7 linked regions of the Callithrix jacchus genome follow. The protein of the gene in region 4 purifies or fractionates together with the protein of the main gene of each other region. This does not show direct contact. Links are inferred from orthologs where the notes say so. Each region holds a gene or a part of one and is shown on either strand. Other genes may lie near its edges.

Region 1 (4,221 bases), on a different chromosome or scaffold from region 4:
TTGTAATGGAAAGTATATTTGTTTAGATATACATGTGAACTTAAGAATTTTGAGGCATCCTATCAATCTTTACTGCTCTACTAAGTATTTTTTCCAAAGGAATTGCTCTGACCTGAAACAGTATTCTTTAATATTTGCCTGTTTATCACAGTCATTTCTTTGTGCTGCATTTTGTAGTTTTTAAATCTTAGCTAGACTCATGTAATTAATGATCTGAAGTAAAAATTCAAAGCATTATTTGGTACACTGTTTGAAATTGTGGACCATTAAAAAATGAGACATATTTTCTGTGTTTGACATTTGCTTTAGAGAAAATAATTAAGTAATTATAGAGCCTGATCCTGTCTTACAGCGAAAACTAGAAGCTGAACTTCTTCAGATAGAGGAACGACACCAGGAGAAGAAGAGGAAATTCCTGGAAAGCACAGATTCGTTTAACAATGAACTTAAAAGGGTATCTGTTTAATATGTTAACTATACTTTTATCACGATGCCTGTTACTTTATTTTTCCTCATTCTTTTTTCCAAAATAGTGTTTTAATGAATGTTGTTCACTTTGAAACAGGGTTAACTTTACTATATAACCTGTAAGATCTTTTTTTATACAATTTTTCCCATCCTCTGGCAGAATTGCAATAAATTTGAAATATCATGGAGTATACACATATCTACTAGGCCTATAAATGCTAGAGCCCTCTGATATTTTAAACTCCCATACAGTCAATTACTTTTATTGTGATTTATTCATAAAATGTCTTCATTAGATGTAATTCATAGTTTGCACTTTACATGTAGACAAGGATATCTAGTTGGTAGCCCAAAATATAAAATGGAAGCCTTATGTATACCCCAGAACTTTCACTGTTTTGCCTCACCAGCTGCTCTGGAATATCGGATGTTATACAACTGCTACAGCAGCTTTCTTTTCTTGTAGACCCAAGAGTTTCAGAGAAGACCTAGAACCACATTTTTTTGCCACACACACAGACACACAGGTGTATAGAATATATATATATATATAGTTTGTGGGCAAGAAAACCAACTTTTGAAAGAATATTTCTGGCTCAAAAATTATAAGAAAACATTACTAAGAGTTCTGGTTTATTCTGACTAGTTGTGCGGTCTGAAAGTAGAAGTGGATATGGAGAAAATTGCAGCTGAGATTGCACAGGCAGAGGAACAGGCCCGCAAAAGGCAGGAGGAAAGGGAGAAGGAGGCAGCAGAGCAAGCTGAACGCAGTCAGAGCAGCATCATTCCTGAGGAAGAACAAGCAGCCAACAAAGGCGAGGAGAAGAAGGACGACGAGAACATTCCAATGGAGACAGGTAACCCACTAGCAACAAACACAAGGAAGTGCCAAGACTTTGTACAGCTGTCTTTAATTTAGATTTTTCTTTCTAAGTGCAAGTTTTCTGATACCTGCCACTGAGAGTGATTCCCAGTACTGAATTTGACATGATATTGACATTCAATATTTTAACCTTTATTGCTTACATTATTTATCAAGATGTAGTTATTGCTTTAAGATCAATTATCTTAACAGCATTGGTGTTAAGATAATTGTCTTTGGTGTCCTAGGACAGCATTCTTCAAAGTAATACCGATAGGCCAATTCTGCCCACCACTTGCTTTTGTAAATAAAACTGGAACACAGCCACACTTGTTTGTTTACATATTGTCTATGGCTGCTTTGGGGCTAAAACAGTATAGTTGAGTAGTTGCAACAAAGACTGCCTAGCCTGCAAAGTCGAAAATATTTGCTGTCTGGCTCTTTACAGAAAAAAATGCCAACCCTGTCCTAGAAAAGCCCTTACTTCTAGGTATATTGATTTTCCTGATTGAAAGCAGCATCCCTCAAGGTAAAAAATAATAGTAATAACTTGTATGAATAAAACTTATATAAAGTACTGATTACAATGATTATCATTTGTAATTTTGAGATGACCTAACCTCATAGCACTGTTTTGACACTGCCTAGTACACTGTGTAAACAGGACTAAGCTAAAAGTTGTTATGGAAAACAAAACCAAAGGCTTCCTGGAGCATCGCTGCAAGAAGTGGGAGGGACAGTAGTCATACTTGGTACTCAAATGACAACCTCCAAGTGTCATACTTTGTAGTCAGATGACAACCATCTGGAAAACATGTAATGAAATACAGATCTTTACCAGGTATTTTTGCAAAATTTAATCCAGCAGGTTAACATTTTAGATAGTCATATGTTAGGTTTCACTATCTGAGTCTCTGTTTTGTATGAACATGTTTTTTATCGTAATGAATTTGGAGCATGAGCACATCTTTGTGGTTAAAGTAAGAGCTTGAAATTTAAAATACTGATTTTTGCAACTGTAAGAACACTCTGTCCCTTGCCTCTGTTTTGGCACCTGTGAATGAGGCATGTCTTATGCTTACGGTTTGCAGGTCTTTACTCAAATTCTGTTCTCCTAGCTCAAGGAAAAACCTGAAGAAGATCGTATGACACTATTAGAGCCAAAAGCTCATGCTTTTAATTTCCTACAGGAAACAGTCCAGCATGACTTTAAGAAAGTATCTAAAAGATCAACCTTATATCATTTCTACAACTGCTTCTCCTCATTTAATCCTTAGCACTACAGACTGACTCTCATTTACTGTCCAATAGAAATAAAATGCAATTCACATGTGAAATTTTAAATTTTCTACTAGCGACCTATTTTTAAAAGTTAAACAAAACAAGTGTTTTAACAATATATTTTATTTAATTCAGCATATCCTAAGTAACATTATTTCAACACGGAAGAAACATTTTTAAAATCAGCTTTCCTTTTTTTAAATAGTCTTCAAATCCAATGTATATTTTATTTTTCTACACATCTCAATTCAGAAGAAAATTGTTATCAAAAGTATTTGATCTGCATTTATTTAATAAATTTCATAAATACAGCTAAAAGTTAGGTTTTCATACCCAGATTGTTCCAACATTCTTAAAAGTTCTGTAGTCACACTGGCTCATTTCAGGGGTTTAATAACCACATGTGGCTAGTGGCTCCTGTATTGGACAGCCCAGTTGTATGCTGTCAGCATAACTAGAGTAAAATTTCATCTTGGAACTGACAGTGACAAATATGTGATTACAGAGGAGACACACCTTGAAGAAACGACAGAGAACCAACAAAACGGTGAAGAAGGCACGTCTACTCCTGAGGACAAGGAGAGTGGGCAGGAGGGGGTCGACAGTATGGCAGAGGAAGGAACCAGTGATAGCAACACTGGCTCGGAGAGCAACAGTGCAACAGTGGAGGAGCCCCCAACAGATCCCATACCAGAAGATGAGAAAAAAGAATAAATGTTGCCTTGTTTTATGTGTTCTAAATACTTTTTTAAATGAAAAAATGTTTTTTGGTTTTAATGGTGTTATGTGGTTTGTGTATTAATTTTTTTCTTGTCCATATCACACCACCAAAGGCTTTTGGACCATTTAGCCTCATGAACCTAATGGCACAGTCAGTCACCCTTCTTAGTGTTGTGAAGATGGCCCTTTTCTTTGGATCTTGTTTCTAGCCCTCAACTGCTGAAAGCCTCAGAATTTAGATTAATTGAGAAAACACCCTCCTCTTTTAGAGAATTATCCTTTGATGCTGCAGAATCTACTGTTACAATGCCTTCCTACAGCTCACTGGGGTGCTTACCAAAGCCATAGCTTTAAACCTTCCCAATCCCCATCAACAGTTTCCTGAAAATCTCCTCTCTTGTTTACTTCTGCAAAGGGTAGCTTCTTAAAACTGTAATCATGTATGAGTATGTATTTGTTCACTTCCCCTTTTTTACTTTTAGTCAATGTCAGATACCAAGAGTTGTGTTAAGAAGTTGAGTGTAGGCTACAACTAACTATGCTTGGATCTTACCGATCCAGAAATAGCTCCCATAGTTAAGAGTAGTTACTTAAGAAATGGTCATTAAAGTGAACACAACGCATATACATTATCTATACTGCTTTTTGTTATGATTAATATTGGGTATGTTCTGGTAAATTCATCCTTACTGTATAGAAAAAAAATTACTTTTTTACCAGGTTTTCCAAAGACAGACTAGATCACAAAACTCAAGGAATTTAATATTCTTGTAATGGACTAGATAATTTAAACTAATTAGCCCATTCCAGAAGAAAAACAGCTGGGAATTAAGTTAATCCACTTGAAATTATTTTACAATAATCAGAACATTCAAAACCTCAAGGCTCAG
Region 2 (4,804 bases), on a different chromosome or scaffold from region 4:
CTCTGTCACCCAGGCTGGAGTACAGTGGTGCGATCATAGCTCACTGCAGCCTTGAACTCCCCAGCTCAAGCAATCCTCCTGTCTCAGCCTCCTGAGTAGCTGGGACTATAGCTGCGCACCACCATGACCGGCTAATTTTGTACTTTTTGTAGACATGGGGTTTTACCATGTTGCCCAGGCTGGTCTTGAACTCCTGGGCTCATCCTTAGCTTCTTGCTAAGCTCTGGGGGCCATCCATCCACTACTGTACCTGGAGCTACTGATTTCAATAGAGCTCTGACCTTGAACCCTTGCCTAAACTCCAAAGGTCTGATGATTAAGTCAGGCCCAAGAGAACAAACTGCCTCTCCATCTGAGTCTCTCATAGGCTGGGCCTCAGGAAGACTATTCTTACTGGGAAGCCCAGGAGTGAAGGGGGCTGAAAAACAAGACTGTAATTAGCTTTCCAGAAACTAAAATGTGCTTTGGGGAAGATCCTGGAAACCATTTAGTCTAAGCATCACATTTTACACATGAGAAACGTGACACGAAGGCAGAGCAGGGCTGGAACCAGGCCTCCCAAGGTTCTTCCCACTTGGCCACTTACAGCTTCTCAATTTGCTCCAATTAATAAATGAAAGCTTTCTTTTAAAGTGTCACCCACTCTGAGCCAAACTAACTACTTTTATACCCATTAGATCAGGTAAACAACTCGCCTAGTATCACATGATGAAACTCAACACCTTTTGCATCCTGCAGTTAGGCAGGTGTCTACTGGCCAATGAGGACAATGCTGAACTGCGGCACAAGGACAGGCAATGGCTCCATCTCCCCAGCACTGCCATCTTCGAACAGTTGCAATTCAAGTGACAACGTGAAAATTTTATTGCATCCTTCACTTTTTGTTTTATAAAAATTGATGGAGGCCAGCTACAGTGGCTCACACCTATAATCCCAGCACTTTGGGAGGCTGAGGTGGGCAGATCGCTTGAACGTCTGAATTTTTTAAGACCAACCTGGGCAATATGGTGAAACCCGATCTTTACTAAAAATGTAAAAATTAGCCAGGCGTGATGGTGTGTGCCGTAGTCCCAGATGCTTGAGAGACTGAGGTGGGAGGATGGCTTGAGCCCGGGAGGTGGAGGTTGCAGAGAGCTGAGATTGCACCACTCCACTCCAGCCTGAGTGACAGAGTCAGACGTTGTTCCCCTCAAAAAAAAAAAAAAAAAAAAAGGTGGAGAAATGCTAACACTAAAGTTCTGATGCTATTGACCTTACTCTCACCCATGGGACTCAGCGTGACCATCTTGAGGCTTCATTCCTTCATGCTATGCTCAATTGTGAAGGCAAAAACCCACAAGTTTAAAAAGTATGAATGGGCTGAGTGTGAGCGTGGTGGCTCACACCTGAAATTCTGGCACTTTAAGAGGCTGAGGTACAAGGATCACTTGAGCCCAGGAGTTCAAGACCAGCCTGGGCAACACAGCAAAACCCCATCTCTACAAAAAAAACACAAAAATTAGCCGGGCATGGTGATGTACACCTGTAGTCCCAACTACTTGGGAGGCTGAGGCAGGAGGATCACTTGACCCCAGGAAGTCAAGGCTGCAGTGAGCTGAGATGCACCACTGTACCAAAGCCTGGGCAACAGAGTGAGACCTTTTTTCTAAAATAAAGTAAGATAAAAACTATTAATAAGGCCAGGCATAGTGGCTCACTCACGCCTGTAATCCCAGAACTTGGGGAGGCCGGGGCGGGTGGATCATGAGGTCAGGAGTTCCAGACCAGCCTGGCCAACGTGATGAAACCCTGTCTCTACTAAAAACACAAAAACTAGGCGGGCGTGGTTGCAGACGCTTGTAATCCCAGCTACTCAGGAGGCTGAGGCAGGGAACTGCTTGAACCTGGGAAGCGGAGGTTGCAGTGAACCAAGATCGTACCACTGCACTCCATCCTGGTGACAGAGCGAGACTCTGTCTCAAAAATAAATAAACAAATGACAAAAAACAAGAACCTAATATATTTGGCATAAACACCCGTTTAATTGCCAATTGAAGGTTTTTCCAACGTCAGTCAATCAGTTGATGCAACAAAATACTGCCACTCTACTTAAGGATTAAAGATCCTTGTTCTCCTGCCCCTGTAATAATTCAGAATCAGTTCACAGATATGGAAAATGTCAATTGCTTCAGAATTGCTCAAAGAATCAGCTTAGGCATGGGGCCTTTACCCACCCAAAAGCAAACATCTCCCTCCGATCTGTTTCTTCACTAGTAAACAAAGGTCAAAACACCTCTACTGCCCACCTAAGAAGCAACAAACAAACACAATAGGGATGAGCCCTCACTAAGCCCGGGAGTTTTCAGCCTGCCATTTCAGGATCCCACAAGTGGCAATGTGGGGAGGGGTGCACGTGAAATTTACGACATCTAAAAAGAGTCAAAGGCAGCAGTGCGGTCCCCCAAGCGTCTCAGGGGCTAACCCAACATTCCACTTCTTTGAGTCTGGCTGGAAACCAACCCAGCAGGGAACTAATGGAACCACTCGCGGCGCCATAAAGCCCTGGCAGCATTGCAGGCGGCAGACCTCGGCGAAATGGGTAAAGAAACCCAGATAGATGAGGGGGCGGGGCCACGCCCACAGGTCACGCCCCACAGTCCGGAGCGCGCGCGCGCCCGCCCGCCCCGATGAATGGAGACGCCCGCTTTCGGCGCACGGGCCCGCCCTGGGGCTCCCGCGGGGCCGAGCCCGGGGAGGGCGAGGACGCGCCGCAGGCTACCTCGGAGCCGATCATGTAGAACTCGCCGTCATCCTCCAGCTGGAACTTCACGGGCTTCTGCCCGAAGGTCTTGCTCAGCGCCATCATCATCATTGCGGCGGCAGAGACGGGCGGCCGGAGCCGGTCTGCGAGGGATCCGGAGGGCTGGGGTGGGGCCTGGGCGTGGCCGGCGAGTGCCAGGCCAAGGGAAGCCGAAGCCAGAAGGCGAAATGCGCACCGGGCCGGGTACCGGCGCCTCAGCCGGGTTCCTCAGCCGCCGCCACCGCAGACGACGACCAGGCCGCCCTCAGTGCGCAGGCGCTGGCGTTGACGCTGACGCGCGCGCCGCCGCTGAAACAAAAGGCCGGGAGCGCCTCCGCGGACTTCTTAAAGGAGCCACGGCTAATTTCTCTTCCTCCCAGGCTGCCTCCCAAGTCGTGGTGTAGAAAGGAAAGCTTCTCACGGACAAAAATAGCCACTGCTTTCCCAGTCTTACAGCCAGGACTGGAACGGAGCCCAGGGGAAAAGAAACGAAGTGAGGTTTGAAGGAGAAGGACCTAATATCTGGAAGCCTGAGTGGTCTGGGCACGTTTGGACACCAGGCTCGTGCCTTAGCTTCCCAACCCCTGAAACAGGCAATGCAACTGAGCAGATAGGCGGGCCCCTAGGAACAGATATCCCAGTTCCCGGCCTACGGCTGTTTCTGCAGCTGTGGAGGTGGGCAAAATGACAACAGCGGATAAGGACTGGCAATATTCAAAGGCCCAGATGGTATTTGGTTTGGCTGGTGCATCAGATGAGCATGGGAGGGAAGGGACACTTTCCACCTCCATTCCTTTGCTTACCTGAGCCCTGCAGTGGGACGGGAAACCAGGCTCAGTCTCTTGGCTCCTACCGCCCGAAGCTAGTGAAACTAAAAGTCTCAAAGCAATCATGTATCTGATTGAATAATCCAGTGAGTAAAAAAGTGGCCCACCACTGATGATTTCATACGGTTCAGTCTACTGAAATTGCAGCTGTGGTTGGGCACAGTGGCTCATGCCTGTAATCCCAACTCTTTAGGAGGCCAAGGCAGAGAGCATCACTTAAAGCCAGGAGTTTAAAACCAGACTGGACAATACACCAAGTCCCTGTCTCTACAAAAATTTTAAAATAAATAAGCTGGGTGTGGCGTGGTGCTGTGCGCCTGTAGCCCCAGCTGCTTCGGAAGTGGAGAGGGGAAGATCCCTTGAGCCTAGGAGTTCAAGGTTATAGTGAGCTGATTGTACCACTGCACTCCAGCCTGGGCAACAAAGGAAGAACCTGTCTCTCTTTAAAAAAAAAAAAATGCAACTATGATAAATGCTGTTATGAAGACACATGTGGAGTTGGAAGGTAGGAGGCAACCCTCCCAAGTAGCTGAGAAGAGATGGGGTTTCACCATGTTGACTAGGCTGGTCTCAAACTCCTGACCTCAGGTGATCCACCCACCTCGGCCTCCCAAAGAGCTGGGATTTCAGGCACGAGCCACTGCACCTGGCCACATCCTTTTTTTCAACACTTTTTTTCCCACCCGAGATTAGTTGAGTTTATGGATGCAGAAACCACAGCTATGTATGGAAGGCTGACTGTGTTTCACGAGGGGCTGGGCTGTGGCGGGAGCAGATAAAATGACCACCATTCTGGAGGATGAACGGAGGGGACAAGTAGGAAAGTGCGGAGCCAGTTGACAAGCCACTGTAGCAAAATGTGATGTAATGGAGCAAAAGGAGCCCTGAGCACTGTGCCCAGCCCCAAGGGCCAGAGGGTTGGGTTGGGGGACTGTGACCCTGGCTCCCAGGATAGTGCTGGACAGCGGCCATGCCTCCTGATCCTGGCTGAACATTCACAAAAAGAGACCAAGCAGGCAAAGTAGAAAACAACTGTGTTTAATGACAGTCCTCAGTTTAAAAAAAAAAAAAAGGCTTTGTACACACTGTACACATATTTACAATGGCTTTGGAGGATAGCAGTGCTACAATAAGGGCTTCAGGAGGATTCGGCCTGGGACAGGATTGAGGTATGTTGCAGCCTCCAAGGCCCAGGGTC
Region 3 (4,004 bases), on a different chromosome or scaffold from region 4:
TAAAGTTGTTATAAAATACACTTCTATTATTGGCAGCTATCTGCCAAAAAAATGATCATTTTTAGGACGATTCCTTTAAGTTAGCGGTTCTTAAAACTTTGTGCACATTAAACTAATCTTGGGAGTTAAAAAGCATGCCTGCCAGGCACAGTGGCATGTAGTCCCAGTTGCTTGGGAGCCTGAGACAGGAGGAGGATTGTTGGAAGCCGGGAGTTTGAGGCTGTGGTACGCTATGATAGTGCCTGTGAATAGCCACTGCATTCCAATGTAGGCAATATAGCGAGACCCCGTCTCTAAAAGTAATCTTGCCTGGATCCCATCCCCAGAAATTTTTATTTAATTGCCCCAGGAGTAAAAGCTCCTTAGATGAGTTAAATGTACAGCCAGGATGGCAGAATTGATAGATTAAGCTATTAAGTGTATATAATAGGAAAACATTTCAAAAAAAAAAAAAGAAAGGGAAAATTGTAGTAGAGAACATGGTTATATTTGTAGTTGTATTTAAAACTTTTGGAAACATTTGGAACTAACTGATTTTTTTTTTTAATCCTAGGGTCTCTATGGCAGTGTAATAGTGGCTGGAGGAAACACACTAATACAGAGTTTTACTGACAGGTTGAATAGAGAGCTGTCTCAGAAAACTCCTCCAGTAAGTCCTGTTCTTTAATGGTATTCTTCAGTCATATATATTCTCACTGATGGTGTAATTTCATAGATGAGGGTTTATTTTTTAATAAAGATGATATTGTATGTGTGCCTGGTAGAGTATTACTAAAGTTAATATCCTACAACCAAGTTTTCTTAGTTGACATCTATTAGTTTCTCTTAAATTATTTTAATCTCATTTATTAACATAATATTTAAGTGCCTATAGTCTAGTAGGCACTAGTCCCTGCACACCAAGGGCTCTGTCTACTAGGATGTTAGAGATGCAGAAAATGACGGCTGTAACATACTGAACAATTAAGTATGCCATGAACCAGATGTTATTGGGAACACCAAGAAGACACTGCTTAACTCTCTGGGAGTATCAGAGGATAGCCTCATTAAGAAGCTACAGTTCGATTGAATAGTTCAATTCATTGCTAATTTATGAAAGGATATCTAGATGGAATAAAACCATTTGCAAAAATATTAAGAGAAGATGGGTATGTTTCAGTAATTCAAAGTAGGTGGCTTCCAGTCTGTACAGAAGTGGGGAAAGCAATATGGCTAGAAAGATGGATTAGTTTCCTAGAGCTGCCATAACAAAATACAGGTTAGTGGCTTAAACAACCGAAATTTATTGTCTTGTAGTTCTTGAGGCTAGAAGCCTCAAGGTGTCAGTGGGGCTATGCTGAATCTATACGGGAAAATACTTCCTTCTTCACAGGATAAAATCTTGCAGTACGCTGATGAACGCGTATATTTCTTTTAAAAAGATCAGTGGATGTATTGTAAGAACTTTTACAAGGATAGAAAAACTTGGTTTCAGAAGGTAATTTGTATAGTACTTTGAAAACAGAATGATATTTGTAATCTTTTAACTTTAAATTTAAAAATTCTATTGGCTGGGCATGGTGGCTCACACCTGTAATCCCAGCACTTTGGGAGTCCAGGGTGGGTGGATTACAAGGTCAAACCAGCCTGGCCAACATGGTGAAACCCTGTCTCTACTAATAAGACAAAAATTAGCCGGCCATGGTAGCACATGCCTGTAGTCCCAGCTACTTGGGAGGCTGAGGTACGAGAATTGCTTGAACCCCAGAGGCAGAGGTTGCAGTGAGCTCAGATCATGCCACTGTACTCCAGCCTGGGAGACAGAGCAAGACTCTACCTCAGGGAAAAAACAAAACAAAACAGAAAACAACAAAAACTTAAAAGTGTTTTTTTGTAAGGTGTTCTGCACTAAATACTAAATTAAAAAAAAAACTTGTTAGTGGTTACATTTACATAGGCCTAACAGTATCTTCTGTAGATCTGTATATTTCATAGTCTTTTGGTTTCCCATATAAAAGAATGTTTTACATATGCCACATTTCTTTTTTTTTTTTTTTTTTTTTTTTTTTGAGATGGAGTTTCGCTCTTGTTACCCAGGCTGGAGTGCAATGGCGTGATCTCGGCTCACCACAACCTCCGCCTCCTGGGTTCAGGCAATTCTCCTGCCTCAGCCTCCCGAGTAGCTGGGATTACAGGCATGCACCACCATGCGCAGCTAATTTTTTGTATTTTTAGTAGAGACGGGGTTTCACCATGTTGACCAGGATGGTCTCGATCTCTTGACCTCGTGATCCACCCACCTCTGCCATCCAAAGTGCTGGGATTACAGGCTTGAGCCACCGCGCCCGGCCCACATATGCCGCATTTCTATAATTAAGTGAAAGAACAGGAAAAATATTCTACTTAATAGTTACCAATCTTTCATACCTACAGAACCCATGTTTACCCTATCCCCAGTCCCCTCTCCCCACCCAGATCCCATACTCTACCCCTGCTGCACATACTTATCACTTAGAAAAGCTCACAGAATGTGTTCATTTATAGAATAATTGGAAGATGTCAGCAACTTGAGAACTGTCCCCAGAGGCAGATTCCTTGGTAGGAGGAAAGAAACCGCTTGATAAAGGAAGTGAGATAGGGGATAGTTCTGTGCAATGAAATGATATATTATCAAGAGAAAGCGAGAGTCAAAACAGAAGCACTGATTTGGAAGGAAAGTAGTATAAATAAAAAATTAACCTGAAAGCTGATGGCTGCGTTTTATTTGGAAGGGTTGCGGTGAACTAAGCATGGATTAGGATAGTATGAAGGCCTAGAAAGGAAGCAGTTAGAAGGTTGGGGAGGACTACAGAATGGGAGGCAGATTGGGATAATAACTATGTTTGTGTAGATTAAAATTTTCTTAAAAAAAAAATCCCAAACTAAAATGCAAAGATTAAATTTTTCTAAAAAAAAAATAATAATTATGTTTGGGTCAGATGAAATGAAATAATACATAAAGACTTAGCACAGTACCAGATTTATAGTGTTAGGTATGGGTTTGCTCTTTTAGGATAGAAATTGTGAATGCTACACTTCAGTATGCAGTTTTGGAAAGTTTGTATGTCTTCTCATCACATAATTGCATATTAAAAGCCATAATCAAAGTACTTTAAAAAATCTATACATTAGTCTAACTTATGCTTATTATCCTAGCTATTTCAAAATTACCATATTTTAGTCAGTGTTTGAACTACAGGGAACTATTAAGAAGCCTGTCAAAATTGAATTTCCTGGCTGAGTGCGGTGGCTCATGCATGAAATCCCAGCACTTTGGAGTCTGAAATGGGCAGATCGGTTAATTGCAAAAGTTCGAGACCAGCCTGGGAAATATGGAGAGCAAGACCCTGTGTCTATTAACAAAAAGAAAAAGGAATTTCCTAAGTTGAGTCACAAGATTTGATTGCATAATGTGCATTCTTCTCTCTGTTTCAGAGTATGCGGTTGAAATTGATTGCAAATAATACAACGGTGGAACGGAGGTTTAGCTCCTGGATTGGTGGCTCCATTCTAGCCTCCTTGGTTAGTGAATGAGTTACTTTGCAAAAATATTCTTACTGAATTATACTGAATTTAGTAAAAATACTAAAAATAATTCCAGTGCTTCATTTATCTTTGCATTTTATAACTGTCAAATGAGTGGAGGACCTAATAGAATAACCAGTTTCGTGTGTTCTGATGGAACAGAATGCCTCTTTGCCTAAATATTGGACATTTGTCACCCTAATTTCAATTTCCCTTCTCAAAAAGAGATGGAAATACCTTAATGTATGCATACCTTTTCTAATAGCACCCCCACTGGCACTGGTCAGGGCTTGTCTGGAGTGCATTTAAAATTAAATCATTCCTTCTCAAGTTCTGGTCATTCCTGGGACTCCCAGTGACTACAGGAAGTCAGGAATTGGTTGGAGCAAATGGTGAAGTCATGGTGCTGGGTCTGAGATGTTGCTTGGACTAGCGTCTGCCTTGACTAGAGAAAAACTCCT
Region 4 (4,478 bases):
CTTGAACCCGGGAGGTGGAGTTTGCAGTGAGCCGAGATCATACCACTGCACTTCAGCCTGGGCAACAGAGCAAGACTGTGTCTCACAAAAAAAAAATCTACTACCATCTTCTCTGGGTTTTTCTTCCAAGCTGCTAACACCTATTCTGCATGTTTTGATACTCGTACAGGGTTAGGAATGACAAAAACTCTCACCTGCTAAGTATGATTTTAAGACACAGCAATGGTAAGATGTGTCCAGCTTCTGAAATATTAAAATGAAGGGGGAGATTTATGTGCATCTTGGAATTGGTGATATAAGATATATTGGAAAGATGACAAGTACCAAAGACCAAGCCCTGAGGATTCTGACAGTTAGAGGCTGAGCAGAGGAAGAGACTGGAAGGAACTGCCAGTGGGGTAGGACAACCGGGAGGGGGTGGCGTCTCAAAGATCTGCAGAAGAGTTTGAAAAGCAGAGTGGCCAACAGTGTCATGGGGTTGACAGGCCCATGAGGACAGAGAAGACATCTCTAAATCTGCTGAAAGGGAGGTCAGGGTTACAGGAGCTAGTTCAAGTGAACAGGTGGGAACCAATTGGGTGGAAGGGGGACTTGGAAACAAGGCAACAGAGACAGGGAGTACTATTTGCTTTGAAAGACTGAAAAGAGGTGATAGTGAAGGTCGACTGTGCTGGGGTTTTTGTTTGTTTATTTTTTTTGACACAAGGTTCGCTTTGTCGCCCAGGCTGGAGTGCAGTGGTGCGATTACGGCTCACTCAGCTTCTACCCTCCTGTGCTCAAGCGATCTGGTCACCTCAGCATCTTGAGTAGCTGGGGCCACAGGCACATGCCACCACACCCGGGTAATTTTTTAATTTTTAGTAGAGACGAGGACTCCCTAAGTTTCCCAGGCTGGTCTCAAACTCCTGAGCTCAAAGCAATCCTCCGGCCTCCGCCACCCAAAGTGCTGGGAGCCACCGCGACGGGCCTCCTCCAGCTCTTTTTTTTTTAAGGTGGGGTCTCGCTCTGTAGCCCAGGCAGGAGTGCAATGGTGCAATCCCAGTTCACTGCAACCTCCGCCTTCCCGGGTTCAAAGGATTCTCCCCCTCAGCCTCCCAAGTAGCTGGGATTACAGGCACCTGACATCATGCCCGGCTAATTTTTCTATTTTTAGTAAAGGCAGGGTTTCACCATGTTGGCCAGACTGGTCTCGAACTCCTGAGCCCAACCGATCCACGGGCCTTGGCCTCCCAAAGTGCTGGGATTACAGGCGTGAGCCACCTCGCCCTGCCCCACCTCTTCTAGATAGAAGAGGCGGCCCGCCTCCAACCGAGCTCCGGGACGCATGCCAGTCTCCGGTTTCGCCTGCGCATCGGTCTCCCGTGCGGTCTCACGCGTTTCCTTCCCGGCCCCCGCAGACAAGCGTAGAGCTTTCTTCAGTACTCGCTCTCGTGCGCGCGCCCGGGCGGCGCCTGCGCAGAGGGCGAGGAACCTGGTGCCCCCGTGTGGTCCCGGCGCCTGCGCGCTGCGGACTCTGGGGCCTCCCGGCCCGAGGGAGAGGAGCAGGGAAGATGGCGGCTGTGGTGGAGAATGTCGTGAAGCTGTGAGTGGTCGTTTCTTTCTCTCCTAGGGCGGCAGGTTTTGTAAAGGGCCTGGGAGGAGGGGGCCGTGCGGGAAGAGATGAGACGGAGAGAGGGACATGCCCGGCAAGATCGTGTTGCGACTCCTGGTGGGGAGGGCAACAGGAGACTCTGGAGAAGACGTTGCGCTTCTTTGGAAACTTGTGGAGGCCCTGATGGGGGCACACTGGAGCCTCGACGGGCGGCCTCCCTGCGGGGCTGTGTAGCCTGAGCGTTCCTCGGGGCTGACGGTTTCTAGAGCATGGCGCCCTGCCTGCGCGCGAGACTCACGGTCCCGGTCCTCTCCCCAGACGCCTCAGTCCCGAGGAGCGGGGCTGAGGCCCGGGCGGCCCCTGGCGAGTCCGCCGCCCAAACCGCCCGGTCCCGTCCCGTCCGCTGCAGCAACAGGGTCGGCGGCCCCAGTGGGGTGCACTGCGGGGCTGGATGTTTTAGTTCCGAGCGGCCCCGTGACGTTTGGGAGGATCTTGGGTGGCGGGCACCTAAGACTGCAAATATTCTTGGGAAGAATTTGTCGAAGAGCGGATACAAGAAGGGAAGGAACTTCAGGGGAGCGGGCCTTGGCGCAGTCCAGAAGCAGCCATCAAAAACCTGCGGCTGGACCGAAGCCGTTCAGGACAGCTCAGTAGCCTAAAGGGACATCCAGATGGGTATTCTTCCTATTTCACGGTACCATTGTGCTGGCCAGATATCAAGCAGAGTTAAAGTTAGTATTTGTTGGGGCCATGGACACTGGCCTATGAACTGCTTCCTGTCAGTTAAAGATGCTTTGGGACTTGATTAATTCCTACAGAAGAATGAGAACGAGTTTTGGACTGGGTTAATGCCCCCTAGGCGAATAGAGCTTCTTTTAATGGGTACGTTGGGCTTGGTGGAAGGGTGGGAAAATTGAGGATGTCTAGCTGTCCAGTCAGGGCTGTTGGATTTTGACGGAATGAATGACAGTGGAAGAGTGGGAAAATTGAGGATGTCTAGCTGTCCAGTCAGGGCTGTTGGATTTTGACTGAATGACAGTGGAAGGGTGGGAAAATTGAGGATGTCTAGCTGTCCAGTCAGGGCTGTTGGATTTTGACTGAATGACAAAGTAGAGGTTCGCTAGCTGTTCTAAGGGACTCACCGCTTTTCATCCGTCTTTATCGTGGGCTGAGCCCCACTCTTCCTAAGAGCCTTTTTAAAGAGTAAACTGCTTCTCCCTCATGCCCTGAAGCCTTTTCTTTGAGAATGCTTTCCCACTTCCATTAAGCTAAGTGCCTTTCCTCCTCGTGTGTGTGTGTGTGTGTGTGTGTGTGTGTGTGTTTCATTTAACTTGCTTTCTGATCTATCCTGTCTCTTTCAGCCACCCTCCTCCCAACACTATTGTCTTTCTCTCTGATCTGCCCACTCCAGTTTCGCAGCTCTCTTGAGGCTGACATTTTTCTCAATTTAGAAATGACACTGTTTGTATACCGGTTATCCTTCCTGGCTGAGATGTTCTTTGTTTCCCTGCGTCTTTGTTGACTTCCCTTATCCCATTGGAAGGGGATGTTTTACACGGGTTTCTCCAAAAATAAAAAGAAAGATTCCCCTTGTACTGGAGGAATATCAGACTTGCCTATGTTTTGAGAGTTAAACGTAGTGGGGCTTTTTGTGTTGGAAGACTTTCCTCAGGGAGATAGGGTTGCCAGTGCTTTCAAGTTGTGTCATAAGTGAGGGGTTCCCATTTAAACCGCATGACTTCTGATTTCTCTTGGAAAAACTATAGAGATTGTTTCACCTGCCACTAATTCCTGAATGCCAGTAATGAGAAACCAACTTTCTCCTCATTTCTGGCTGTACAGGGCCTCAGACCACAGTTAATACGTACTCCTGCAGAATGATCCCTTTAACAAGGGCTTCCATTCTTCCAGTTCATTGGAAAGAGATGCTTTTCTGGCACTTCTCTTGATTATAGTGTGCCTAGTCTTCTGACAGTTGATATTATACACTGAGGTCGGGACCACTAGCTCATATTTTCTTTTATTTTTTTGAGACAGAGTCTTGCTGTTGTCAGCCCAGGATGGAGTGCAGTGACACCATCTCGGCTCACTGCAACCTCAGCCTCCCAGGTTCCAGCAATTATCCTGCCTCAGCCTCCTGAATAGCTGAAAGGCAACCCACCACCACACCCAGCGGGTTTCAACATGTTGGCCGGGCTGGTCTTGAACTCCTGACCTCAGAGGTGATCCACGGGTCTCAGCCTCATAAAATGCTAGGATTACAGGCATGAGTCACCGCACCCAGCCACTCAACTTTCTGACTTGCATCTTGTCCTGGGAGAAGAATTTTCTTATTTGTAAATTTCTGTCCCTTCCAAATGTGATGTCAGAAATAAAAATCTTGGCTGAGCAGGGTGGCTCACGCCTGTTATCCCAACACTTGGGGAGGCCAAGGTGGGTGGATCGCTTGAGGTCAGGAGTTCAAGACCAGCCTGGCCAACATGGTGAGACTCCATCTCTACTAAAAATAGAAAAATTAGCCGGGTGTACTGGCACACACCTGTAGTCCCAGCTACTCAGGAGGCTGAGGCATATGAATTGTCTGAACCCGGGAGGCAGAGGTTTCAGTGAGCTGATATCACACCACTGCCCTCCAGCCTGAGTGACACCTTAAGACTCTGTCTTTAAAAAAAAGAGGCTCGGCACAGTGGCTCACAGCTATAATCCCAGCACGTTGGGAAGCCAAGGCAGGCAGATCACAAGGTCAGTTTTCAAGACCAGCATGGCCAATGTGGTGAAACCCAGTCTCTACTAAAAATACAAAAATTAGGCATGGTGGTGCGCGCCTGTAGTCCCAGTTAGTTACTCAGGAGGCTGAGGCAGGAGAATTGCTTGAACCCAGGAGGTG
Region 5 (4,004 bases), on a different chromosome or scaffold from region 4:
TGTATGGTGGCCTAAAGTGGAACAGAAGAACAGCTTCTTGGGATTTGTTCTGATGCACAAGCATGAATCCCTGTCTATCTGTCACCCCTACACATAGGTGCGGGGCTCACAGACCACGGAGGCAAGCTGGGTATCCTGCACCCTGCCGCTGCCTGAGGGGTGGGGGGGGGGGACAGAAAATGCCTCTAACAAAAGTGTGTGGACAGGCAGAGAAAAGTAAGATTCTCAACTCCAATCTCCATTTACATTTTAAAGTATAGCTTTGACTTTGGGAAAAGTAAACAAGAAGATATCCAGCCCCCATTTAAACTCCTGGGGAGCTAAAATGGGCAGCAAGTGAAGGCAAGGCTTTGGAATGGACTGGGCATTAGAAACAGAAAATGGCAATGCATGGATGTGTATTTATATACTGATTACTACAAAACCATATAAACACTGACTCGGAAAGGGGGCACGCATGGCTTTGTAACCACACAAAATCATGCCTGGCTCTCTGTGGCTATCTTCTGAGGTTCCTCTCAAAAAGGCTGTGTGCCAAATGCAATCGCATACTTTCTACTTAAAAAAAAAAAGAAAATAATGTGTGCTTTATGAGCTGCAACAATGGACAATTCATTTAAACTTGAATTAGAACTTCAGTTTTGAACAGCCAGACCAGTTTCCACAGACAGGTTTACAAAAACATTCCCCTAAAGCCTGTGTGGGTTCGGCAGACGGCTGCTGGAGTCCAGGAGGCTGTAAGTAACTGCGATGTGGAGACCAAAAGTCAGATAATGATTGATTTTAATTTTTATTTCCTCAACGGAAATTTATTATTATTTGGAGAAAACACTAAGTCTGGCGAGGTCCCACATTCCTCAGATAGCAGCTTTAGAAGAAAAGTAACAAAAGACACGTTTAAAAACACACACACGCACACACATGCACACACGCACACACACCTTAGCTTTTATTTCTCTTTGACAAATATCAGAATCTTCTACCCTTGCTTCTGAAGATTAAGATATACATTTTTCAAAGTACTTTGCTTCAAAACTTATTTACATGTGCTTTAAAAACATATTCACCTTTGCCTTATACATTTTAAATTATATTATTTTTATCCAGGTCAAGTATGTACTTCAAGAATTAATCTTTAAAGTCGGGATTAAAAATGAGTTAAGTAATTGAAGCTAAAGCCAAACTTTCGAAAATACGGTCTTTGCTTTTTCAACCATAGTTTGGTTTGGACAGATAGAAAGATATGCCTGGAAAAATAAAATGTAGCCTAAGAATGTAAAGTATATAAACCTCACACATATATAAGATATGCCTGGAAAAATAAAATGTAGCCTAAGAATGTAAAGTATATAAACCTCACACATATAGACAAACACACAATACACATGTATACATACAAAGTTTCCATTTTATGAAGATTCTTATGGGAGAGTGAAAAGGGTCAGGGGGTGTGTTTCCTTTTCAACGTTTTAGAATTTAAATGGTTTCTGAGCCTTAGTATTTCCTGCTTAAAACTCACTGCTTCAACCGGTACCACATAGACACTTCCCTGTGTGACTGGCTCTGGTTTGCTGCTGCGATGACTATTTAGACATTTCCAATCGCCTCCCACGACTGCCATGCCCACTGCTCACATCCCTTCCTCATGTATGATAATACATGGTTTGTCACTCAGTTCTCTGACCTTGATGCTACAAAATGTATTTAACACAAAAAGAACGGCCAAGCACAGTGATATTCTACTGCTCTGTGTGACCCTGGGGAACAATGCGGCTATGTGCGCAGTCACGTGGCCACGCGTAGACACACAGCGTACCTGCCCGGGGCGTGCTCCTGGGTGGCGTACCTGCTTTGTGCTGAGTTCGCAGCAGCCTGCATCACTGCTGCGGCTGCCTCCTGTGCCTTACGGTTCACAGTTGGCATTGGCGGCCCCATTCCTGGCCCTCCCTGCTGAGACATGCCAGGAGAACTGGGGGTCATGCTGCTCATATTTCCAGGAAATGGTCTGTTCTGCATCCCAGCTGATGGCATTCGTCCCAGGGGCACAGCACCACATGGCTGGCTTGGCCCTTGTCCATGCATCTGGTTGTTGGCACTGATACCCATACCGGGCCCTGGGCCGCTGTAGCTTGCACTGGGCACCCCACTATACGCTGGGGGTCTGGAGTAGTTACCTAAACAAAAAGCAAACACAAAGTAAAGCCTTTTATTTAATCTTGTGACAACATTCACTGGAAACACTTTTTGTCCAACAATGCGATCAGCACGGAGTATTAGTTATGACCCTTATTGGCCCTTCCTGCTGGTGCTGGTGAAGCTGCCAACCTCAGACATGCTCTCTCTGCACACCCCCAGGCCCTCAGAGAGTGACCCAAATACAGACAGCCCCAGAGGACCACTGTGCTGTGAAGAGAAATTCAGGCTGGTCATAAAAAGCAAAAACAAAAAAACCCCAAAAAACAAAAACCCTACGAATAGGCAAGGGCTACCGAGTGCTGCCTCCACCCATTCAACGATGCACATTCTTGGTTTTTTTTTTTTTTTTTTTTTTTGAGACTTAGTCTCGCTCTGCCACCAGGTTGGAGTGCAGCTCCATGATAATGACTCACTGCAACCTCTGCCTCTCAGGTTCAAGTGATTCTCCTGCCTCAGCCTCCCAAGTAGCTGGGATTACAGGTGCACGCCACAAAGCCCAGTTTATTTTTTGTATTTGTAGTAAAGACGGAGTTTCACTGTGTTAGCCAGGATGGTCTTGATCTCTTGACCTCGTGATCTATCGCCCACCTTGGCCTCCCAAAGTGCTGGGATTACAGGCGTGAGCTACGGCGCCCGGCACATTCCTGTGTTTTAACTAAAATGGTGAGCAGCACTCAGACCGTACCACTAGGTCATTGCTACCTTCAACAATCATGAGACAGGGCTCAAAAAGACAACGTGTAGGAAGAGATGCACATGCGGTCCAAATCACCCTTTAAAGTCCCACAGGAAGATGTTGCAGGAACCTCACGTGAGCCCCCGTTTCCCTCTAAGCTGGGAATAATTTTTTCTTTTTTTTTTTTCTTGGGTACTGGCATCAAGCGGCTGGTTTGTGCTGGCTTCCACATCTCGGAAAACTGTCCCAGCACCAGCATGGTCCAGGTGGCAGGAGGGCTGGCGGGAAGAGCTGGGGGGGGGGGCAGCGAGGGCTGGTGGGCACGGCCAGAGGGGGGTGGTGAGGGTTGGTGGGCAGGGCAGGGGCAGGGGTGAGGGCTGGAGGGCAGAGCTGGGGGGCTGAGGGCCAGCGGGCAGAGCTGGGAGGTGATGGCTGGTGGGCACAGCTGGGGGGGTGAGGGCTGGCAGGTAAAGCTGGGGGGTGCGTGCCAAAGAGCAGAGCTGTGAGGGTGAGGGCTGGAGGGCAGATCTGGGGGAATGAGGGCTAGCGGGCAGAGCTGGGGGGGTGAGGGCTGGCAGGCAGAGCTGGGGGGGTGAGGGCTAGCGGGCAGAGCTGGGGGAGTGAGGGCTGGAGGCCGGGGTGAGTGCTGGCGGGCAGGGCTGGAGGCAGGGGTGAGGGCTGGTGGGCAGGGCTGGAGGCAGGGATAAAGCGCCCAGTGGCACCTCTTGGCCCTGGTACACACTGGCCACTGCCCTGGCTGTCTCTGTAGGCGTTTTCTCTTTCCTTTCACACCTTTTACTTTGATTGTGTGTAGATAAATTCAATTAAATCAAAGGTACACATGACACTACTTCAGTCATAAGAGCTGCTGAACTATCGTGTGTGCTGGGGACCTGGTTAAGTGCTTTGCACCAATGAATTCATTCATTTCTCCCAGTAAGCATGTGAAATATAGATACCCCAGAACTCCATTTACAAATGAGAAAAATCAAGAGCTAGAAGATTAGGACTGAAGTTCAAGCAAACTGACTCTGGGACCCATGTATTTAACCAATCACACTGCTGCCTCCCGATAAACGACTGCTGAAACTACATAAATGTAAAAGACAAGTGCGTGCAGAATATGGATTCG
Region 6 (4,004 bases), on a different chromosome or scaffold from region 4:
ATTGAGTAAAGAGAATACAAGGGAAGGGTGTGGGGAGTTTGTCCAGAGGGACCCACTGCCTCCCCACCCACCTTTCCTCCCCCTTGCCTCCCCAGTTTCCAATGACCACATGGCTGCTGTCAGATGAATAACTTTTAATCCAGCCCCGCACCCCAAAGCGGCAGAGGAGTGATGCCAGAGCCTGGGGTGGAGCGCTGGAGCTCTGAGTGCGGCCAGAAGGTCCTTCGTGCTGCTTGTTCCCGGGCTCCTAGGTGTTGCGCACAACCAGCGACTGCTCCAGCTCCTGCCTGCGCTGCTGGATCTTTAGAGGAAGTGAGAGCAGGAGCAGGTGTCAGTGTTCCTGGTGAGTGATCAGGACCACCCCACCACCTGACACTGCCCACCCTGGAAGAGCATCTGGGAGCAGGGGTCTGCTGCATGGTCAGGCATTGTGGTGAAGCTTTACTGTGGGGAGCTAAGAGGGCTGCCCACAAGCTGAACAGGGAGGTTTCTCTTGGAGTTGAGGAGGGGGAAGCCTCAGGGCAAGGGACCCTCCATACCTTGCAGTAGAAGTAGCGACTGACGGCCTCCTGGGACCAGGGCTGGTGGTAGAACTCAGCCCGGCGCTCCTCTTCAGGGTTGCCAGCTACATCTGTCATCACCTGGGAGGGGGCATGGGGTCAGCCCTGAGCTCCAGATCCCCTCACCTGCCCTGGAGTACATTTACTGTCTCTCCTGATGTGCTTGTCTTCTACTCCAGTACTCCCTGAGTCTCCCTCTCACCTTGAGGTCCCGGCTCTGGGAGCGGAGCAGATCTTGGACATAGCCTTTGGGGTCTCTGGAGAAGCTTAGCATGAAGTCCCTCTGGATCTTGAGCTGATTTATGGACTCAATCGTCTCATGGATCTGCAGGTAGAAAGATAGATGCTTTCCACCTGGCTGTGGTGATGTGGGAGAGGGAGGGGAAAAGGAGGTGGGTGGGAAGGGGAGGGAGAGGGGTTTTCTTTGGTGAAAGACAACACCTCAGAGCCCCTGATTCCTCTGAAGTCCCAGGGGAGGAGGGGATGGGCAGAACTAAATTTGGAATAAGGTTCAACTCCAAGTAGCATGGAAGGGCCATGTGTACCCCACTGGCCCACACTCTGGTCGCTTCTTTTTCTTTTCCTTTTTTTTATTTAACCCAGACTGCTCATCTGCAACCACACCCTGGTCTCAGAAAAGTCTGCTTTATCATCTCTGGGTTAATGTCCCATTCCAGCTCTGGGCTTGGGCCCCACCTTACTGTCCAGAGCACTGATCTCCTGCTGGTTGGCTGTGGACAGGAGGAAGCTGCTCATCTGCCCCTTTAATGGCTCCTCCACCTCCACATCAATGTCATAGCATGCCGTCTTCTTCTGGTCTGAAGGGTCCACACTGCCAGGGAAGTGCAGCCCTCAGTGTTCATGATGCCCCTATAGAGGCCCTAGGGCCCCGGGGTGGGGGCAGCTCCAACAGGGAGGGAGAAAATACGGGAGTGGGAGGAGAGGGAGGGGCAGGGAAGGCAGGAATGAGATCATTCCCTGGTCTGAGAAGCAAGCTGGGGCCACCTCACCTGATGACATGGTTGATGACAATTGGGTCAGGGGGCAGTAGCAGGGCTGTGAGGCGCTGGGGAATCTCAGAAAACTTCAGCCGGGGACAATCAAAAATCTAGCAAGACAGTTGCAGGGAGAGATCACTCTTGGAAGAGATCATCACGAAGTTGTAGATCCTTTGGTTGTAGAAAGGCCTCAAGAAGCTGAGAGTGAGTCTGATTCCTCAGTGCACAGGGGGATGGGATTGGGGTGGGCTGGTCTGGTGGTGGAGCCACCAGCACGGCTGACAGGGCCTGGGGTGGGTCAGTGTGGGGCAGGTTGAGAGTGCAGGCCCTGGGCCAGTCTATGTATCGGTCCTGCCTCTCCCATCACTATGCAGCCATGAGCAAGCTGACACCTCAGGCCTCTGTCTTCATCTCTAGAGTGGGGGTGAAAATAATATCTATCTCAGGGCTGTCGTGAGAAGTCGGTGCTAATGCACATAAAGTGCTTGGAACAATGCCTGGCACATGGTAAGTGCCCAATAAATATCAGCTGCTATTTTTACTCCTCAGGTTTATCTGCCGTATTTATTTTAAAATGCATTAATAAGAATACTCTCTTTTGGTGGAATTTCGCTAAGTCCCTTTTGCAGCAATTTGATCTTCCCTAACTGCCCAGGAGAGTAGACGGGGCAGGTATTATCACTCCACTTCAAAGATAAGGAAACAAGTCACTTACCCAGAGTCCAGACTCAGGACTAGAACCTGGGAATCCAAACTCCAGGTGCCAAGAATATTACATTCCAGAAAGCAGTTGGCTTTGTAGGGTTCCAGGTCTTCCTAACTTGGGGGGGCGGGGGCGGGGGCTAAAATGGATTGGCTGCAGCACAGAGCTAATCCACAGTAGGACCTGAACTAGAATCCTGGTCGGTCTCTTGGCTCCAAGACCATAACTCTGTACTGCTTCTGCTACTCAGGAAACTAGAAGGGAGGGTGGTAGTTACCTTGGTAGAGGTACTTCCCCTGCTGGAGAACTCTGCCTGATCCCCAGGCCCCTGGGTTCAGGAGGGAGGTTACCTGCTGGAAATACTTGTCCCCATTGATGTATTCCTTGTCATGGGAGTCCTGCAGCCTGTTGGTCTTCACATACTGCCACAGGGCCTGGACGATGGCTGAGCGGCTCTGTGTGTGCAACCCCAGCAGCCGTGCTAGACGGGGATCCAGTTTGAACTGGGGAGGCTGGGAAAAGGGGACTGTGAAAGTTAGATCAAAGGGAGAGAATGGAAGGAGCCCAGGGCCAGGCCATTCAGGACTAGGGGGATGCGTTGACTGAGGGAAAGACAGGGTTGGGAGGGGAAGGAGGTCTCTCAAGATGGACCATGTTGGGACCTAGGCCTGCCCTAAGGGCCTCATGTGACATGTGCGGGGCAGCATGGCAGATGCAGACCTGGTAGTCCAGCATGAGGAGCAGCGTGCAGCGCACACTCAGGTCCCCAGGCCGTTTCACCTGGAAGCCGTCCGTCTCCTGGGTTGTGGGTGTCCGATGCCACTGTCCAGGAGAGAAGAGCTGGGTCACCCAAAGGCCCATCTGGAGCGGTGGGGCCCAGGACTCTAGGGTGGTCCGTGATCCAAATCTGGGCTGGTTCTTCAGGGATTCTGGCCTGTGGGAGGGTGGCAGTTCAAGGGCAGAGGGGATCTTGGTCTCACCTCAACGAGGTGGTTATCAGGGCCATAAAGATCTTTGTCCAGCTCAATGACCAAACTCTTGAAGAAAGAAGAGAACTTCCGCTTCTGTTTGCTGGGCTGTGGGAGAGAAACAGGGACCGTGGGTGCAGAAAAGGGACTGGGGGCAGAAGAAGGCCAAGTTGGCAGCAAACAGGGCAGCGGGCTTAGATGAAATCCTCTGCACCCGAATGTTTCTAGGCCTGCCCTGCCCTGCCCTGCCCTGCCCTGGACCGGCCTGACTCTCTAGCCCTTAGTGCAGACACCTAGTTCTGTTCTCAGTGCAGCCCAGGCCCACCCTAGGACACCTGGAGAGACCTGCGCCGGGACGTACATCATCCAGGAGCTTCCCCTCTACCCGCAGCTCCCAGGAGGCAATGCTGCCATCGGAATCCTCAGCATCAGGCTTCGCAGGGTTAAAAGTGTTGGAGATATAAAGACGCAGCTTCCGCTTTTGCTGTAGAAATAGAGTGTAGAACCAAGTGAATGCTGTGTGCTCCCACCCTGACCACCTTGCTTCCCCATCCTGGGCACGAGACTGAGTCCCCCTCCTACCCCCAAACTAAGGCACCTTCATGGGCCTCTTGAGAGCCTCCTGGATGTCCACCCGCTTCCTCATGATGGTTTGATCCAGTTTCCTCTCAAACGCTAAGAGGTCCATGTAAGCCTGGGACTCGGGGACCAGCTCCCGAATCTGGAGAAGGAAGAACAGGGCAGAAGTCAGAGGCTTCAGTCCAGGGTTGTACCA
Region 7 (4,004 bases), on a different chromosome or scaffold from region 4:
ATGAAATTCATAAACTGACCAGGTGCAATGGCTCACGCCTCTAATCCCAGGACACTGGGAGGACAAGGCAGGTGATCACTTAAGCAGGCATTCAAGACCAGCCTGGGCAACAGATGGAGACATTGTTTCTATTCTTTCAACAAAATACAAAAAATAAAAATAAAAAACAAGAAATTTATAAACGACGAGAACAAGGCAAAAAAGTGATATAACTAATGTACTACAGTAAAAGGAAGAGCTACACATTCTTACAAAATATGACATTTTTATAAGTTAAAGTTGGTCCCTAAGAACAAAAAATTTCTATAAACGCCTCAGTACTTTTCTCCAAAAAGTCAATATACAACACTGCTGCATGCATTAGCTTTTTTTCTTCTTCAAATCTTAATATGTCATGTCAAACCCTGCTCCAGCAACACTCATTTTTTTTTTTTTTGTGCACACCATACCTTTTCTTAACCACAAGTTTCTAAGAAGTGTGCCATCATTACTGGAGTTGCTGCCAGAATCATGAATTTTCCTGTTCTCTCTCCTGGTAACCAAACTGTATAGAGAAACACCTTAACTCCCTTTTGATCTAGCACTGACTGGATCTTGCTGTTGTATGGACTCTTAATTGACCTAATAAAAACAAAAAAATAATTCCACCATAGGCATTAAGTAACTTTGGGGGTAAAAAATGTTACAAGTGCCATTTGTGAAGCTACAATGTTGACAACTTTTTCTATTATCTCCTTTTGTTTTCAGTATATCTCACTGAAATTATTTTTAAAATCTGTATATTTTTAAATTCTATGACTTCATCATAAGGAATTATCAACAAATTAACATTAAATTCTTTTATCTGGGTACATTTTAGTGCTTTTTAATAATCAAAATCTAGAAAATTTTATTCCAAATACATTTAACTCTATCTTACAGTCTTAACCGTAAGACAGAATTACCATATTTTGTAACTAAAATAACGTTAAGCTGGAAATATGCCAAATGTTTTAACAGACAATTTACAGAACAGAGTGCCACTTACTGGCTTTTAGTTATTATTCACAGAATACTTAGAAACATAGCACAATTTCATTCTGAGATTGGTAATAAACTTTAATGGACTTATGCCATTCTAAGAGTAGTACAGCAGCACCCCACTGAACATTCTAATAGCAAATTATTTTAGAATTACCTTTTAATGCTAAAACATAGCATCAGAAAACATCCATATAAATCAAGGGAAGTTCATATAAATTAATACATCATTTAAACTGTAAGGCAGGTATTTATTTTCTCAACTTTCTAGCTCTAAACCAAATGTTTGGTTCTTCACTGATCAGCTTTAAAAAACAATTCTCAACAACACAGAACCTCAAATAAACTGTTCAAAAGACATAAAAATAAATAAGCTTAAAAAGCTAAATTGAGCAATTTAATTCATACATATAAAAAAAGATTTAAACTAGTTTCAAACTCAACATTCCATTTTTCTGGGCATGGCTGTCCCTCATTTTAAACTTATACTTTTATGAATCAGCTAAGAACCTGATAATCATTTTACTTTCAAAGGCCAATATAGTACTCTAGTCAAGAAGGACATAAAGCTTAGTTACCTTGGTTTGGCTGCATATTCATATTTGGTCTGGGACCATAGTTCCCCATTGGTTGCCCTTGACTCATTGTCATCTGATTCTGTACTGGCATGCTCTGTGATGATGACACGGAATGGTTGTAACCTCCCATGGATCCATGGCTACTTGAAGGCATATTCATGGAACTGTTTGTCATATTGAGTTGATTGGGTCCAGGTCCCTGCATAGGCATATGGTTAGGCCCTTTGAAGAAAAATGATCAGAAGCAAAATATGAAAATTAAATAGATGGTCCATACAAAGTACCTGGAAAGGGTATTTTTTTTTTTTTTGCATTATTATAGTAATACCAAACAAGAGTTAATCAGTAGCAAAGTAAATGGTTTATAGGAATGACAGTAAATACTGAGAGTATTCCCATTTTACAGATTAATAAACGAATGTTTTTGAAACGTCATGAACACTCTGAAAATGAAGGGAGGACTAGCTTCTTTAAAATACAGCAAAACATATCATAAGGTTGGAGTAATTAACTGTGAACACAGGCGGGGCGCAGTGGCTCACGCCTGGAATCCCAGCACTTTGGAGGCTAAGGCAAGTGGATCACAAGGCCATGAGTTCAAGACCAGCCTGGCCAAGATGGTGAAACCCCATCTCTACTAAAAATACAAAAGTTAGCCAGGTGTGGTGGCGGGTGCCTATAATCCCAGCTATTTGGGAGGCTGAGGCAGGAGAATCACTTGAACCTGGGAGGCGGAGGTTGCAGTGAGCCAAGATCGCGCCACTGCACTTCAGCCTGGGCAACAAGCAAGACTCTGTCTGAAAAAAAAAAAACCTGTGAACATAATGAATAGATTAACAGACTGAATGACTAGAACAGAGTCTAAAAACAGACCCAAATACATGGCTGAGTAACTAATAAGTATCAGTGAGCAATAGAAAACTAATTCAGTAAATGGTGTTGTGACAACTTGGGAGCCATTTGGAAAAAAAAAACAAGTTGGATCACTGCCTTACTTCTTCCACTAACTAATTCTAGATGAACAGAAAACTTAATCCATAAAAGAATTTCAAAAAGGAGAATTTTTAAAATAATAATGGAGGGACCTTCTTAAGCAGGCCAGAAAACCCAGAGCTATAAAACACTGAAAAATTACACTATATAAAGTTTAAAAATTTGCACATGACACGAAACTCAAAAATAATAAAAAGGTAAGTAAGAAAATATTATTTATAAGACATATCACAGACCAAATTAATTACTTAACATATGAAGTAAGTAAAACACCACCACCAGTAAAACAATGGGCAAAGGACATAATGAGGGAATGACTAGTTCACAGAAAAACTACAAAAAGGTTCATCAATACTAAAAGATTGATTGCTTCACTTAAAATAAGAAGGCAAATTAAAACTATGAGACCCAGCGTTCACCTTTCAGATTCTCAAAAATCAAGTTTAATCTAACTGTATTATGAAGAAAGAAGCACTTTTGTCCATTGTTAAAGGAATATAAATCTTACTTATATTCCGTGGGGAATCAAGCTTATGAAATCAAGGGTGGGATCAAGCTTAAGAGAGACAAACAACAATTCAAAGGAAGTAGTTGTCCCTCAATATCTGTAGGAGGCTGGTTCCAGAACCATCTACAGATTCCAAGATCCATAAATGCTCATGTCCCTGACATAAAATGGTAACAGTATTTCCATATAACTTATGTACATCCTCTCATTTACTTTAAATCCCTACATTGTATGTACTACCTAACATAATATAAATGCTATGTAAATAGTTGTTACACTGTACTAAGGAATTATGACCAAAAAAAGTATGTACATGTTCAGTACAGTTTTGTTTTTCCAAATATTTTCAATCCATGGATGCGAAATTCATAAATGCAGAAGTGATGGATATTACTATTTTTATACAAAGCAATTTGTCACTAACTATCAAATCTAAAAAATACATATACCTTTAACCCAGCAATTACAGTTCCAGAAATTTATGCTATAGATATACAAGTTTTTGTGTGCGTGTATACTGACACACACAAAATATATATATATGCACATATATATATTTTTACAGGCAAATTCATGGCAGTATAATTCACAATAACAAAAGACTAGAAGCCTATATTTCCACCATAAATGTTCAAATAAAGTTGTAAAACAGAACGTGACACAGAGACCAAAAAGAATAAGGTATCTATTTACATACAGAATAAAATAATGGTATCCAAGACAGATCTTTAAGAGAGAAAGAAGACACATAATACTATTTAATGAGTGCTATCCTTTGTATTTTTTTTAAAGAATAAGGGGGGAAAAAAGGTAATAGAAATGTAGTATCAAGGGGCTGATGAGCAAAAAAAAAAAAAAAAGAAAAAGGTAATATACATGGATTATTTTACAAAGAGAAAATATAT

What was found.
Region 1: the proteins of DPF2 (region 4) and SMARCE1 purify together in Homo sapiens (affinity purification with mass spectrometry; 9 studies listed by BioGRID and IntAct, counting the BioPlex papers as one, with this or other methods). This does not show direct contact. The link is inferred for Callithrix jacchus from reciprocal best matches to the Homo sapiens genes DPF2 and SMARCE1.
Region 2: the proteins of DPF2 (region 4) and SMARCB1 purify together in Homo sapiens (affinity purification with mass spectrometry; 11 studies listed by BioGRID and IntAct, counting the BioPlex papers as one, with this or other methods). This does not show direct contact. The link is inferred for Callithrix jacchus from reciprocal best matches to the Homo sapiens genes DPF2 and SMARCB1.
Region 3: the proteins of DPF2 (region 4) and ACTL6A purify together in Homo sapiens (affinity purification with mass spectrometry; 5 studies listed by BioGRID and IntAct, counting the BioPlex papers as one, with this or other methods). This does not show direct contact. The link is inferred for Callithrix jacchus from reciprocal best matches to the Homo sapiens genes DPF2 and ACTL6A.
Region 5: the proteins of DPF2 (region 4) and ARID1B purify together in Homo sapiens (affinity purification with mass spectrometry; 7 studies listed by BioGRID and IntAct, counting the BioPlex papers as one, with this or other methods). This does not show direct contact. The link is inferred for Callithrix jacchus from reciprocal best matches to the Homo sapiens genes DPF2 and ARID1B.
Region 6: the proteins of DPF2 (region 4) and SMARCD3 purify together in Homo sapiens (affinity purification with mass spectrometry; 3 studies listed by BioGRID and IntAct, counting the BioPlex papers as one, with this or other methods). This does not show direct contact. The link is inferred for Callithrix jacchus from reciprocal best matches to the Homo sapiens genes DPF2 and SMARCD3.
Region 7: the proteins of DPF2 (region 4) and SS18 purify together in Homo sapiens (affinity purification with mass spectrometry; 4 studies listed by BioGRID and IntAct, counting the BioPlex papers as one, with this or other methods). This does not show direct contact. The link is inferred for Callithrix jacchus from reciprocal best matches to the Homo sapiens genes DPF2 and SS18.

What each region holds. Positions count from the first base shown.
Region 1 is NC_133506.1:92,638,725-92,642,945, forward strand, and holds the end of SMARCE1 (SWI/SNF-related matrix-associated actin-dependent regulator of chromatin subfamily E member 1), read left to right. Parts: intron 1-352; coding exon 353-454; intron 455-1,114; coding exon 1,115-1,325; intron 1,326-3,116; coding exon 3,117-3,325; 3' UTR 3,326-3,388; downstream 3,389-4,221. UniProt on the Homo sapiens protein: Involved in transcriptional activation and repression of select genes by chromatin remodeling (alteration of DNA-nucleosome topology).
Region 2 is NC_133502.1:192,698,475-192,703,278, forward strand, and holds the start of SMARCB1 (SWI/SNF-related matrix-associated actin-dependent regulator of chromatin subfamily B member 1), read right to left. Parts: upstream 3,058-4,804; 5' UTR 2,852-3,057; coding exon 2,759-2,851; exon of another isoform or gene 2,669-2,758; intron 1,189-2,668; exon of another isoform or gene 996-1,188; intron 1-995.
Region 3 is NC_133516.1:7,812,899-7,816,902, forward strand, and holds part of ACTL6A (actin-like protein 6A), read left to right. Parts: intron 1-553; coding exon 554-649; intron 650-3,453; coding exon 3,454-3,540; intron 3,541-4,004.
Region 4 is NC_133511.1:122,417,067-122,421,544, forward strand, and holds the start of DPF2 (zinc finger protein ubi-d4), read left to right. Parts: upstream 1-1,508; 5' UTR 1,509-1,550; coding exon 1,551-1,582; intron 1,583-4,478. UniProt on the Homo sapiens protein: Plays an active role in transcriptional regulation by binding modified histones H3 and H4. Is a negative regulator of myeloid differentiation of hematopoietic progenitor cells. Might also have a role in the development and maturation of lymphoid cells.
Region 5 is NC_133505.1:163,976,335-163,980,338, reverse strand, and holds part of ARID1B (AT-rich interactive domain-containing protein 1B), read right to left. Parts: intron 2,175-4,004; coding exon 1,847-2,174; intron 12-1,846; coding exon 1-11. UniProt on the Homo sapiens protein: Involved in transcriptional activation and repression of select genes by chromatin remodeling (alteration of DNA-nucleosome topology).
Region 6 is NC_133512.1:96,971,529-96,975,532, reverse strand, and holds the end of SMARCD3 (SWI/SNF-related matrix-associated actin-dependent regulator of chromatin subfamily D member 3), read right to left. Parts: intron 3,951-4,004; coding exon 3,828-3,950; intron 3,714-3,827; coding exon 3,591-3,713; intron 3,338-3,590; coding exon 3,242-3,337; intron 3,084-3,241; coding exon 2,982-3,083; intron 2,774-2,981; coding exon 2,612-2,773; intron 1,669-2,611; coding exon 1,571-1,668; intron 1,393-1,570; coding exon 1,257-1,392; intron 886-1,256; coding exon 763-885; intron 642-762; coding exon 540-641; intron 302-539; coding exon 248-301; 3' UTR 118-247; downstream 1-117. UniProt on the Homo sapiens protein: Involved in transcriptional activation and repression of select genes by chromatin remodeling (alteration of DNA-nucleosome topology).
Region 7 is NC_133514.1:69,287,461-69,291,464, forward strand, and holds part of SS18 (protein SSXT), read right to left. Parts: intron 1,821-4,004; coding exon 1,599-1,820; intron 1-1,598. UniProt on the Homo sapiens protein: Appears to function synergistically with RBM14 as a transcriptional coactivator. Isoform 1 and isoform 2 function in nuclear receptor coactivation. Isoform 1 and isoform 2 function in general transcriptional coactivation.